Stegostoma tigrinum: one gene and its partner. The protein of the gene in region 1 interacts with the protein of each later gene in a pairwise test. Links are inferred from orthologs where the notes say so. Each region holds a gene or a part of one and is shown on either strand. Other genes may lie near its edges.

Evidence for each region.
Region 2: the proteins of transducin-like enhancer protein 1 (region 1) and foxa2 interact in a two-hybrid assay, tested with the Homo sapiens proteins (2 studies listed by BioGRID and IntAct). The link is inferred for Stegostoma tigrinum from reciprocal best matches to the Homo sapiens genes TLE1 and FOXA2.

Annotation. Positions count from the first base shown.
Region 1 is NC_081356.1:61,834,760-61,842,000, reverse strand, and holds the start of transducin-like enhancer protein 1, read right to left. Parts: upstream 3,008-7,241; 5' UTR 2,901-3,007; intron 2,872-2,900; exon of another isoform or gene 2,499-2,871; 5' UTR 2,414-2,498; coding exon 2,390-2,413; intron 1,918-2,389; coding exon 1,817-1,917; intron 1,203-1,816; coding exon 1,139-1,202; intron 982-1,138; coding exon 937-981; intron 1-936. UniProt on the Homo sapiens protein: Transcriptional corepressor that binds to a number of transcription factors. Inhibits NF-kappa-B-regulated gene expression. Inhibits the transcriptional activation mediated by FOXA2, and by CTNNB1 and TCF family members in Wnt signaling.
Region 2 is NC_081362.1:11,946,330-11,953,845, reverse strand, and holds foxa2 (forkhead box protein A2), read right to left. Parts: upstream 2,776-7,516; 5' UTR 2,633-2,775; coding exon 2,546-2,632; exon of another isoform or gene 2,534-2,545; intron 1,813-2,533; coding exon 583-1,812; 3' UTR 518-582; downstream 1-517. UniProt on the Homo sapiens protein: Transcription factor that is involved in embryonic development, establishment of tissue-specific gene expression and regulation of gene expression in differentiated tissues.

The DNA.
Region 1 (7,241 bases):
TTTTACAGCATTATATCAATCAAAGCAAAAGCCAAGTTGAAACACATTCCCATTTTTTTGGGCAAGCATGCATCAGCTGAGGAGATAATTTAATAGTGACCTTTTAAGAAGTAAATCAATGTCTTAAGGACTTACTATCAATCGAATCTTGAGGATTAGAAATCACAAAGTCACTACTTCTCTTGGGTAGCTTGCATCCCACAATTAATGCTTTCTTGGCAAACAACCAGAGTCAAAGCGCCATTTAATACATCAATCACTTGAGATTTGCTTTGCGCACATTGTCCACCTTCCTTGTGCTTTGTTTGTTATTTTAATATTCTCAAAAATAGTTTTGCCTCATTTCAGTTCATCAATTGAGTATCTACGCCTCATGTACAACAGCAGCTTCAGTTATCACAAATATACAATGCAGTAACTTATGACCGTTGCTTTAAACCTCAAAGAGCTTTTATTTCTCCCATCCCCATAAACTCCACATGCAGAGCCAAGCAGCAGCATCAGTTCACCTTAAATTAGATCTTTGTGTATATAAGAGCATTACTTACACTACACCATGCTCTGTGGACAATACATAAAACCTTCTAGAATAATAAATTCTGTTTATCAAGCCGTGATGATCATGCCAACTTTCCAGCCATACAATAACATTTGGATTTTAACATTATGTTGTAAATACATTTGTTTTCCTGTAACCCTAATCCACCATACAACATTAAAAAGTGAAATTTGAAATGAAATACTTGCTATTAAGAAAATGTAGCAGCTCTAACCAACATCTGAAAGAAAAGGTAAACATTCCAAGTTCTAATTAATGACCTGATCCAAAATGGTTAAGTTATTTTCTTCCTTCAGATTAGATTTGTTGATGGGAAATGTTTTGCTACTTCTACTTTACCATGCCCAAAAAAAATGTTTCTATAAAAATGAGCTTACCTGTTTGTGCATCTCAATATTCAATCCATAAGACATTTCATAATACTGTAAAGGAAAAAAAAATGATAAACCAAGTGATAGTGATCTTTTGATGAAACTGAAGAGTGAGTTTTCAGTAGTCTACTCCCCAGGTCAGATTGGATAACGTCACAAACTAATACCACGCTACTTCTAATTTTACAAAATAATTGTTTAAACTCACCATAACATAGTGTCGCTGCATTTCTGTCTTTTCACTTGCCAATTTCTCACATTCCAATTTTAGACTATAAAACACAAAATTTAAAAAAAATCTTTCACAAGATGTAACTGTCGTTACAAGGTCCAGTGCTTGTTACCGATCCCTAACAACCCCGAGAATGTCAACATAGGAACTTCTTGAAGCAACAAGAAAGCATCTTAAATAGAGTACCTACATAAGAGACTGCAGTAATGGCAAAAGCGGAAGTACTGGATAAATCAAAAGGACAACTCGACCCCTTGTAATGGACCGGATATTAAAATTCAACTGTAAACATCAAGATACATAAAGCAAATAAACTCAATTGTTCTAAATGGATAAAGTATTGACTTAAACCGAATTATACGCAATCGAAATCAGCTCATGTAATTTACGATTTTCAACGATGTAATTCATGAGTGTCAAAAAAAACAGTTCAGAGGGTTTAGATCACTCAGGCTCCTGGTTTCCTCAATGTGTGGTTTGTTGCAATCTTTTGAAAGGAAACAAAATCTGGCCGCAGCGAGAGCGCCGCTCTCTGGTGAGGCAAAGTAACCACTGGCTACCTACCGCAGACAAACCAAATAACACTGGAGCCTGGACTAACCAGCAGCAAATAAACATACTTTTCCCCGGCAGAGAATGGGAGACTTCTTTCACCTGTGATACTGAGCCTGTAAAAACTGGAACTCTTCTTTAATACGGTCCAACGATTCGGGGATGGTAAATTTGAAAGGCTGGGCTGCAGCCTGGTGCGGCGTCTGAGAAAACAGTAGGTAAGGAAACAAGAATTACAAGTACACAGAGATAACAGATCGCGAACGAATCAACGCGCAGCCTAGGCAGATTTATATCAGAAACTTTCCGACAGAAGAAAGCGACGAACACAAACACATGACACTGAAAGAGGGCAAGGTCCTCTGACAGAATTAAACACCGGACCTTTTGTTGGTCCAAGTAAGCTCAGTAGAATCAGTGATCTTCCTGCCCAACTTTCAGGGGGACAGTTATTGAGATGACATTGGTTCAAAACATAGTAATGAACTGATGTGCACGCAGATTTTTGGGAACCGGCTAGAAGTAGTTTTCCGCTTACAAAATACATCACACGACACGTTGCTGGTAGTGCAACTATACATTAGTCCGCTGAAGGTGTTTTCCTTTCCTTGAATAAAGATCACACAATGAAGTAACAAAGCGGTTGGCCAGGAGAGCTGCTTTCTCTTTACTTACAGGATGCCTGCTCTGAGGAAACATTGCTTGGGTCCGCCAGAAGCTCAGTTCCGTTGCTCAAACAATCGCTCGATCTTCTTTAAGAAACGCACATTAATAACAATCCCCTCTAAAAGAAAAATAAAGTGTTTACTGCAAGCGCATCCTGGGTTCGGATCCCCAAAAAGGTGGTGTTTTAAGAGGCTTTAAAGCCCTCAGGGAGGCTGGCAGATTCCGCTGTCCCGATTCAACTCCTGTCGATCTTTAGGACAACAAAACCTTTCGGAAAACAGCAATTGCCACTTCTGTAACAAGAACAAATTCCTAAGCCGCCCCAGGAAATCTTCTCGACTTCTCTTTTTTTCGATTGCAGTATATCCAATAGAATAAATATAAAAGGTATACCGTGCGAAGTTTAAGCGGGTATAATTGCTACAGTGGAAAACAATGTAGCAGTTTCCCCCACACAGACTGGTTACATTAACACGCGGTTTCTTCGCTTCCCCCCACCCCCCCTCGAGAGATCGCTCACCAAATTTAGACACGCGCAGTCTGAGGCTACGTTCCGTTCCATTCTACGCCAATCAGGATCCGGAAAGCGACCTCTGTCACACGTGGGGTTATGTCGTCATCACGGAGTGTTGCCCAATGGAAGGTGGTGACCGCAGGAGGCCAGCTGTCAGTCAAGCTGAGCGGAGACTGAACCCAGCAATCGCAAGACGGCCTGCCATTGGACTCTTTTTCCATTGGATACTATTGCACATCAATCACGCTGACGGCTTCGCCCTCAGACCAATTAAGGGCAGTATTGTGTCCGTTTGTCTCTTTCTGATTGGTCTAATTCTTTCACCCCGCCTTCGCATTGCCCCCACCACCCGCGCGGGCTAAACTGAAACGGTTCGAATCAAACGAGTGGCCGTCCGTCAGTCAGTCAGAGAGAGACAATAGGGCGGTGGCGGGCTCAGCTGTCACTCAAAGTAACGTGGGTTCCAAACACTGACAGGGGAAAAAACACAGACAGACGAGCCTTTGTCCCACCCACAACTAAAAGAACCAGAGCAGGAATGTTAACTAATTATAACAATGTAGAGAAGCTTCACATCTCGGTTTTGTTGCAGTGCATTTTGTCGGGCTGTTATGATTGTCGAAAGCAACTTTGAACAAAACGGTTTCCTTGAAGCCAATGTAATCATAATTTTAGGTCTTGTTATATACGAAGCATTAATTAAATAAATTGGAATTTATTTGGTAGGTACTTATGCCGCCCCTCCACATCGCTCCCCGCTCCCCAATTTTTATCAAGATCTACTTCATTTTAAGTCCTAGGTTTGGTAAAAGCGTCAACACATCAACAATGTTAGTGCTGAAATGCACATCAAAGCGGCCCACGTGTGTTTTCATTTCGTTTTACTAGAAAATTGTATCCAGATGTTTAACAGGTATTATATCGGCTTTTCCAGACTTGATTACATAGATTTATTCTGTTTACAGCTCTCCTCGCTTGTTAAGTGACACAAGAAGTATTCACGGTGAACGTTAATTAATTATTGGAAATAGTTATATGTGTTGAGAAACAGATTATATCTATTACAACCACCCCCGCTCTCACCTCCACCAACACCACCCCCACCCAGACTACAATTTGCTCGGGGTCCGGACTAGATTTTTGTTGGGGGAAAGTCTCGTGGTGATATTCTCCAGACAATACCTTCTTTGCACGCAGGACCTCTGTGAGCTGAAACTGTGGTAAATGTAAAGACTCCAGACCACACGCGCGATACCTAAAAGACGCCTTCATTTGTTTCAACTGCTTCATGACAAGAATCTTAGTACAATATAATATTCTTATTCCACTCCTAAGTAACTCATGGTATCGCTCCTGTCAAGGCGTCATGCCATCCGCGAACCCTTTACCAAGGTGTCGTAAAAATGCAGACAATTCCCCGTATTAATAACAAGTTAACTTTTAATATACATACATAGACATCTTACACAGTAATAGGCTATGGAACGATTAAAAAATTAACAATACACTGCACACTGGGAATGAGGACTGAATATTTCAAATGCGAACCAAAAGATCTACGGATTCTAGAATCAGAAACAAAAACAGAAATTGCTGGAAAAGCTCAGCAGGTCCGAAGAAGGATCACCGAACCCGAAGAGTTAATTCTGAGTTTTCTCAACAGACACTGTCAGACCTGATGAGCTCTTCCAGCAATTTTACTCGGTAGGTCTGGTAGCATCTGTGAAGAAAAATCTGAGTTAACGTGTCGGTTCCAGTGACCCTTCCTCAGAACAACTGATGTTTACCATCAATTTCTGTGTTTATATTTCAGATGAATCTGGTTTAGAGGGCAGTGTGCGATTATATGCAGCTGTAAATCAGTTCCCATTTTTAAACCACATATCCAGTCCTTATTTTCACATCATTATATCGGAGTATTCTATAAACAATTCTTGAGTTCAAATATTTCATGCTTTTGTCATGGTACTGTGTTTTTAAAACAATTTCTGTATGGTTACCATGCTGTCACACCATTTCAACTTTGCAATTACAGACAGCTTGTACTGCTAAGGGAAGATTATATATTTAAAAAATCATGCCCTGCTTTTCAAATTGCAAAATTTTAGAACAACTCTGCTAGATAACAACTAAATTTAAAGTAATATATGAAAATATGGTTCAACTTCATGAAACTCAACATTACTCCCTGTCCTTAATTCCTGCTTTACCTTAAAGTGCACTTGAATTTGACTATTTTTGGGATAATTTTCAACTGCCTGCCACAGAAAGGGCAGATGGCAGCAGCTGAAAACATTGAAGATGGTGGGCTGCTGGAGACTGGTGGTTTGGTATGATTGTCAGGTTGGAGTGAGAGAGGGTGAATTTTTTGCAAGGGTTAGGGGTATATATAAGTTTGTCAGAAGTTTCACCTTAACCTGCGCATTAATGCTATAAACTTGCGCATTGCAACTTCAACACAAATGTGTGGATGAGTGGGCTATCAATCCCCTGGAACAGATGTAGGTTGCTAAATATACAAATTAAAATTATAAACAATTTTCCATATATTGCTTAGAGAATCATGCACCAAACCTGGTTAACTAGCAGTTCTCAAATGAATTATTGATGGTTGCTCAATAAACAGTTAAGATAAGCTTGTTTTTTTTACATAAGTCCAAGAGGATCAACAATGCCCCTCTGGTTCTTGAAAAAAATCTCTCACTGCTGGTGTATTTGGTCACTACAACTTCTCGCTACCTTTCTATCCCCCCACTCCCCTTACTGTGCACTCCATTGGACTTCTTCCTGCCTGACTTTCCATCTAGATCAACATTAGATCTGGATAACTTCTAACTCCAAGAACAAACAAGGTGCAATGGGATCTCTCTGGGCATCTGTAGCTGCCTAGCAGTTTGCTAATAAATCCCAAGCCTCCAAAGGCTTAAGTTCACACCAACACAAATGGCAGGTGGAGCAGCTGCACACTTTCCATAATGCAAGAGCCCACACTCATCTCCACCTTCAGTGTGTGCTAAGAATTCTGGGTATTTACAAGTCTCCAAAATGCTAAATTTGCGTAGCATCAAATTCTAAAGACTAAATATGGTCTGATTGCAATCTGGTACATACATTTTTAACTGTGTTTTATCTTCTTACAACTTTTCAAACTTCAATGTTCATTGACCTCACTTAATTCTACTGTCTAATTTTATGTAATTTTTTTCCCAATGATACAGATTTCCTGACTAGAAGTGTGGATCTTTTACAAGATTGCAGTGCTAGAATATTGTTATAATGGAATCAGCTAACAAGGAATCCTATACTAAAACAGTTTTATAGGGCTATAACTCAATAATTATAAACTTGTTGATTTTAGCTAAAGTTCCATTAAACTCATAAAGTATCATCATGACTGATCTATGGCCTAATTCCATAAACCCACCTTTGTCCTGTATCCCTTGAAAAACAAATATCTACTAATCTCGGATTTAAAGCTTACAATTGATCTAGTATTAATTACAGTTTGCAATTCCAAACTTCTATCAACCTTTTTCCTGTGGAAGTGTTTCCTAACTTCTTTTCTTAAAGGTCAGGTTCTAATTTATATTCCCCTGGAACTAGACACCCAGCCAATGAAAAGAATTCATTTTTATTTATCCTACAAGTTCCCCTTAGTACTGTGCAAACTTTTTATCAAATCTCCCTTAAACCTTCTAAACTCAACAGAATACAATTGCAGTTTGTGGAATGCATCCTTGTAACTTATACCTGGATATAGCCAAAGGCTCATTATTTCATTTAAAGGGGAGATAACCAAGACTGGCTCCTCAATGCATTCTAGTGCTCTTGTTACACAGCAGTGTCAAGATTAAAATTTGCTCTTCAATTTCAAGTAGAGCTGATGATTGGGGGAGAACGTATAGATGGAGTGGAGAAGGCAAAAGTGTCAACCATTTGCATAATTCACTGTTCTAGGTGGAGGTATATTTGAATAAAGCACACATCTATCTGGAAATATGACATCAATAGTTTCAAGCAATAACCAAAAACCTTGATTTATATTTGCATCCATTTAGAAAATACTTCACATCAGATAAGCATGCAATTGGAAGCATTATATAGAATAGGATATACTATTTACATAACCCTGCAACTATCTTATTTATCCATCATGCAGCCAATGCAAACACTTCAGCTGTATAATCAAGTAAGTTTCTGATTCAACCCCTCAGTGACATTGTATGCGACACAGCAACACAGAGTAAATTTACATGTTTACTATGTAATCAGAGAAAGCAGTCAAGGTGAAATCTAGTCACTACTAAAGCAGGTCTCTTCAGTGGTTAGAAAGAAGCTGACAAAAAG
Region 2 (7,516 bases), on another chromosome or scaffold:
GCCCTTTTCGTAGTTCTCGGAGGGGACAGGATCAGACAGAAATCGGTGTATACATTGAACATTGAAGACTTCGGGTTAATACAAGATTCTGAGGGGGAGACAAACCGATCGCATTAAAGGGTGCCCCCCAATTATAAATAAACGGACAAAAAAACTATAAATTATTTGCCGATAGGGTTTTTGTTTTGATGTTATATGCGAGTAACACTTTCGAAATTTGAAACGTATAGGGAAGGGGGATGTTCTTTTTTTAAATAAGAATTCGTCCTCAAAGAGAGAAATCGACAAGAGAACTGTGCACAGTACAGAAACGTCGTTATATTAAACGCCTCGTTGTATTCTGAAGCAGCCAAACCAAACAGAAGACATTTGAAACGGCGCGCAATATACAGTCCAAAAACAACCGTGAAGAGGAATCGCTGAACAGCTAACAGTTTGAAAACATCAACAAAACAAAAAAAATTCCAATTGCCTGCGCATAAGATTCGCCCCCACACACCCTCCCTCCCTCCCTCCCTTAATTAATAATTCTTACAAAAATGTACAGAGTTGACCCAGTCCGATTGTGAGAGGGGGATAGGTTTAAGATGAGTTCATGATTGGTCTGGAATACACACCTTGGTAGTAAGACGTGTCGTTGGCGATGGACGATGGATCTAAGACCCCTTTGGAGGTCATGGGGAGGTTGGCGGACATAGGGGAGCTATAGTTAGAGTAATGCATTACTTGGTCATACGCCTTCAAGTCCATTTTGTGATGTTGCTGTTCGGAAGACATCAAGTTGTTGATTGAGAACGGGTGGTTGAACGAGTAGTGGTGCTCGGGTTTCAGGTGCTCCTGACCTTGCGACGGCAGGTGGGACAGCACCGGGTGATGCTGGTGCATGAGGTGAGGCGGTGGCGGAGGCGCCTGGCTCACCGCTCCGTTACCGTGCTCCGGGCTCAGGGTGGAGCTCCGGGACTTGAGGTCAGCCAGCGGTCTCTTGGGCTCGCCTCCTCCTCCTCCGCCTCCGCCGCCGGGAGACCCGCCGGACTGCGGTGACTCGTTCCCGGCGCTGGTATCGGTGCCGCTGCCGGCGGAGCAGCTCTCGGACGCCTTGCGGCCGGGGTCTTGCTGCGAATTCTTTAGCGCCTGCTTCTTCTCGCACTTGAAGCGCTTCTGGCGCCGCAGGTAGCAGCCGTTCTCGAACATATTCCCCGAGTCAGGGTGCAAGGTCCAGAACGAGCCTTTGCCCGGTTTGTCTGGGGATCTGGGCACCTTCAGGAAACAGTCATTGAAGGAGAGCGAGTGGCGGATGGAGTTCTGCCAACGTTGCTGGTTCTGGCGGTAAAAAGGGAACAGATCCATGATCCACTGGTAGATCTCACTGAGAGTCAGCATCTTGTTGGGAGACTGCTGAATGGCCATGGTGATAAGGGAGATGTAGGAGTAAGGAGGCTTGGCGTGGGTATAACTGCGGCGGTAGGTCTTGGGATCCCTGGACCTGTTCAGGTTGGATTGGCCGTAGAGCGGACTCATGCTCATGTTGGTGTACGAGGTCAGGGCGTTCATGGAAGTCGCCTGGGCGCTCATCGGACTCATGCTGGGGCTCAAGGCGCTGCCCATGCCCGTCATGCCTGCTCCCATGCCATTCATTGCCCCTGCTCCGGGGGACATGCCAGTCATAGCCGGGCTCATGCCGGTGCCAACGTAAGACATGTTCATGGACCCTGCTGTCATGTTGGCCGTGGTGCCCATCGCGGACATAGTCATGTAGGTGTTCATGCCATTCATTCCAATCCCCCCATTCATATTGCTTACTGAGGGGTAACCCTAGGGCAGGAAACAAGAAAAGCAGACGGTCACCTTTGTTTTGAGAAACGAACTGCCCTTAAGCGCCTGAGCTAATCGTAAAAGCAGACAGTAACAAGGCATTCACTTCCATGTTGGCATCACTCACAATGCGTCCCACTCACTCCTGAGAAGCAAAATCTCACTTTTTAAAAAAATTGATAATTGGGTTTTTATTATTGTATACAAAAGAGAAAAAAGTCTATTGAATTGCATTTTAACTATCAAACTCGATCGTTAATTCTGCCTGAAAAAAATTCAACGAATTTTCCTGCAGTAACGATTTGAAAGGAAAATAATGAAACGGTTGAACTAAATTAAAGGCGATAAAGGACGTAAAAAAATTGTAACAAAAACAGCTGCATTAAAGCGGACCTGTCAAAAGGCATTTAATAAAACCGTGGCGTAGCCAAAACTCACTCAACATCTGACTTTCGAATAAATAAGGTTTGAGTTTAACGATCAGCTCAAAGTAAAAGGGAGCTAAATAAGTTAGGTCTCCAGCGCTTTCGAAGTATGTAAATGTACAACAGAAACTTTATTTTAGCCAAATACAACATTGTTTAAAGACTGTTGAGGTACAAATCGAGGAGGAATTGGAGCCGCGCAAGTCAATATTTGATCACAAAGTTAATATTATCTTAAGGCTAATATTATCTTGTACATAAAGAGGATTGCTTTAAAAAAACCAAAAAAAAAAGCGCCGAAAGCTTACCTCGGACTCTGCATAGTAGGAACTCCAGTCTGTGTGGTCGTGTCCTTCCATTTTCACTGCGCCTAGCATACTGGAGGTAGGGTGCATTATAGGGCTCGAGAGAGAGAGAGAGAAAAAGTTCCTGCTGATCGTGGGCGATAGATTACCCCCGTGTCCGATTGCGGAATGGCTTATTTTTTGGGGAGGGGTGTGTTGTGTGTGGGAGGTGGCGGAGGGGGTGTGTGTATGTGTTGGTGGGGGTGGAGGGGAGGGGTGGGGGAGTTGAGGGTGGGGGAAGTGCTGGATTCTGCAGCCCTAATGCTAAACTGCAGCGAACCAGCGATCCTAGCGATGACAGTAGTTTGGAGTGACGTGAGTGGCTCAGCGGTGCACGGTGATATAAGCAGTCAGACCGCCAATCCCCAATTTCCTCGCAATCCTATTTGAATAATCATTTCACACCTAGCCGTGAGAACACACAGCTTGGCCCCCACCTGCTACCAGCATCAAAACGTGGGGGGGGGGGGGGGCGGTGGGAGAAGAATTTTGAACAAATTCATTAAACCTACGTGTGATTTGTTCCATTTATAGATTTCGAAGGGGGAGGGGGTCGTGTGGAATGGAGGGAATTTCTACCTCACTTCTTTGGGGGAAAAAAAAGTCCAAAAGAAAAACCTGGTCCATTGGAAATGTCCGCGCTGCAACGTGAGTCATTTTGTAAATGGAAATTGGCAAATTAAGATTTGGTTTTCTTTATTGAACAAGAGTTTGAGATCTGTCACGTTTCATTATGTCTCTCCAGCCACCCCCATCTTCACCCCTTCCTCACCCAGAGCTCTTACACCGGACATAAATTTAAACCGTGGACTGTCACAGCGTATTGCACACATAAATAAGCTAGTTGCTAAAAAATGACCGGCTGCTTTCCTCTGAAAATCAAAGCTGGGCTCCATCCGTATCTCGAAGGGAGGCCTCGGGGCGTGATTATGGGGTGCAAGCTGACTCGGTTGTATGTTTAACATAGTCCCAAAGAACTCCTTCCTGCGACCATTATTGTAAGAAAAACAAGCATACTTTTTTTCCCAGGGGGTATATAATGGAAATCGATATAATATTAACCCGCCTTCATGAGGGTAACACTCTACCCTTGGCTCAGTTTTAATTGTCTTGAGGATAGAGGAGACAGCATGCGCCTTTTCACTGGCGCCGCCAAACTTGCGAATACTGAACTGCCCGGAAAAGGTGCATGGCTCCTTCGAGAAATTCAGAAAGATCCGTGGTTTACAATTGATCGTTGCTAAAGACACGGGAGATGGTAATAATTTTAGTAAAACGGCGTGTCAGACACACCTGCGCGGACACACATACGTGCACAAACACACACACACACCATATTATTCTGTTCATTTCTTCAAAACACAACTCAGTTTCCTACCATTAGTCAGCGTTTGTATATGTACAAATAGGCGCTTGAAGCACCTCGAAATTCCTTTTTTCAGGACAAATGTCTTTTTTCAAAGCATCTTTTGTTTTTGAGCCGAGTTTAAATGCAGCTGAAACCGACCCACTTTGTGATTCCTGCATCACTGGTGGACTTAACATTCATGAGAAAATGACACTCCTTATCGAGAAATGTTTTCGTTTAGTCATTCTGGGGGTGAGGAAATGAGTGGTTTGGGGGGAGTTGGTGGAAATGTTATGGAGTTTCAATAACCCCTGCAGTACATTAAGACTGTGCAGTGAAAACAGCTTCTAATGCGAGACTAGCTGTAAGCGGAATACGAGCACTACAACATTGATACTGCGAGGCTGCATTCTGTGTTTCACCTGACGAAGGAGAGGGACCACAGTGGAAGTGTGAGGGCCTTTTCGATTTCCATTCAGGAGACCACTGAATGTGGGACATAAATCAGGTTGTCTGAGGTATATTTTAATCCGGCAGCAGATTACAAGCCCCACTACTGATGGGGTCTGGTAATTGTTTCAGGGAATTCTGCCCACTGTGTCCCCATCAAAATCACAAGGGGTATCTAGTAGAGTAACAACAAGTCCACGCAGCTACAGAAAAATAAAAGCAAACACGTTATGAAACTATTACTGAAAAACAAACCCATAATAAATAAACAGTAATCTCGTGGCTGTATGAAATATTAATGGAAAGGAGGTATAATTCAATCTCTCCTGCAGCTTCTCAGCAATGCGGCCCATTATTTGAAGGGGCAGCTTGGTCCATTAGGAAGAAACAGATTTGAGCCCCTCTGATCACATCTAATGGGTGCCTCCAGCTCATGCAAACAGCGCTGGTATTTTGGAACTTTCGCTGTTAATCCATAACGTTTATAAATGTTTTTCTTTCTCTCCCCCCCCCCCCACCCTAGCGAGCGTGTGGGCCGTTCTTAGATTTTCCAGCAGCAAGCAGAGACTTCCCCAGAGCAAATGTTTACTGAAAAACACCTCGTCTGGCTCACAGCGCTCAAAGCTGTAAAAGTTGACCTTGTTTGCATTTACTTTCCGAAGGGGAGTGTTACACAAACTTTATTTTTAAAAAGAAAGTGTTAGCGGCTCGTCCCCTCCTGCAACAAAAAAAACGCGACACCTGATAGTGACTCACAGCCCAGGTAAGAACAGCGCTGGTTTCAATATTGAAGCATTTTTTTCTTCTAGTGCAGCGAATTAGCCAATGAAATAGAGAAAAAAAGTCTTGATTTCAAAATGTTCTAAAAATAAAGTCACCACAGCCGTACCAAACCAGAGGGCTTCTGTTTCATGACAGAGTACACGGACCGCGATTTGAATGATTTGTACTGTAATGATATGAATGAGTTTGCCACGATAAACAGAATAAAAAAGTTGGACAAGGGCTCCCCCTGGTGGTAATTACACCACAGCCAGTTCTGACCAACTTTTCTCACCTATTACACCAAACACTGTTAATTCGATGGGAATCTTCCTTTTCAGTAGGTGTTTGAACATTGTGAACATCCCCGTTTCCTACCTCCGGAAAGTGTAGCGGATCAGTTTTTGTTTGTTTCGCCTGCATATGGAAACCATTTGGCCTATATTTCAGCTCTACAGTCAGTTTCAATCCCCTTAATCTTTACACAGAGCATGGCAGGTCTTCCCGTTTAGAAATGTGTAAGTCAATGTTTTTTTTGATGTTACAATTGAAACAAGTCTTCACCACATTTTCATGCAGAGCGTACCCCACCGAGGCAACTTGCTGCATATTCTATAGCCTACTATTTCGTATTCGTGCGTTAGTTGCTGGAAACTGTTTATTCACAACAGTTTACGTAGAATCCACACAGTGTGGAAACAGACCATTCGGCCCCCTCATGTCTACACCCCTTCTCCGAACAGCATCCCACCCATACTCACCCCTCTAGCCTCTAACCTTGCATTTCCCATGGCTAATCCACCTAACCAGCGCATCCCCGGACACTACGGGCAATTTAGCAATCCGCCGAGCCTGGACTGTGGGAGGAAACCGGAGCACCAGAAGGAAACCCACGCAGACGCGGGGAGAATGTGCACGCAGACACTCACCAGAGGGTGGAATTGAACCCAGGTTCATGGCGCTGTGAGGCAGCAGTGCTGATCATTGAGACACCGCATTTTGAACATCCCTATTAGATTTCACCTGAGCCTTCTTGATGCCAAGTGGAATGAACTCAGCATCTTTAGTTCCTTTAGAAAATTGAGGTCCCTTTAATCTGATCTAATTTTTTTTTGTTTGTCCTGTGATGTTGTCAGCCAAGCGCAAGTTCTTGAAACTCAGACTCCGCTTCAGTTAAACCAGAATTGAACAACGAATGCTTGACAGCTACTGCAGTGTTTTCTCCCTTCTTCTTTGATTTGATTTGATTTATTGTTGCAATGTACCTAGGTACAACGAAAAGTTTTGTTTTGTGCGCAGTACAGCTCATACAAAGGACATTAGGGCAATAAAACAGAGCAGGGAATGGAATGTTAACAGTTGCAGAGAAGGTGCACAGAGAATGAGATCAAAATTAAAATTAAACTCTGAGAGGTCCTTCTTACACCTGTACAGACCAGCACCTGTGAGTGAACACTATTCAGAGATTTCAAACTTTACATGTACCTTCGTCAAGGCTTTGACATCCTTTCTGAAGTGTGATGTGCAGAGATGGATGCAATGATTTAGTTCAGTTCAAAGGTTCAGCATAGTTTTCTTACAAAGTGTGTATTAATAAAACCAAGGGCTGATGTATTTAATTTTAACATGCTCATTAACTTGTCCTTGCATCCTCTATTTTTATATGAAGATTATACTGTGTCGAATTAGCAGGCTTCAGGATGCTTGTGGTAGGCATGTTAGGGCTTCCTCCTACAAAATAGAATTCTTCGTGAAGAACTGCGTTCAGTTGCAACTGCTAGAAGTGTAATAATGAGTCATAGAGTCATACAGCACAGAAACAGACCGTCTGGTCCAACCTGTCCATGCCAAGTCTCACAAACTGAACTAGCCCCATTTGTCTGTGTTTGGCCCATATTCCTATACACGTTTCCTGTTTGTTTACTTGTCCAAATGTCTTTTCAATGTTGTCACTGTATTTGCATGTACCACTTCCTCTGACAGCTCATTCCAGATAGGCACCATTCTCTGCGTGAAAAAGTTGCCCCTCAGGTCTCTTTTAAATCTTTTCCTCTCTCCCCTGAAACCTCTGCTGTTTTGAATTCCCCTACCCTGGGGAAAAGATATATGACAAGCGCAGTAAGCAGATGCCTGGAAAGGCTGGTGCTGTCAGTGAAGGAAAGGCGAGGTGTTGGTCACAACCATTTGCACTTTTGTGACTCCCTTACATTGTGGAATCCACCAAGCATAGAATTTGCATTCCTACATAGAGTGCAACTAAAGACCCCGCAGGGGCAACATCTGAAACAGAGCTTCAAAGTCCCATGTTGGGCAATCGAGGTAAATCAGTCTTTCTCATTTTTTTGTAGAATCATCCCTACAATGCAGATAGAGAC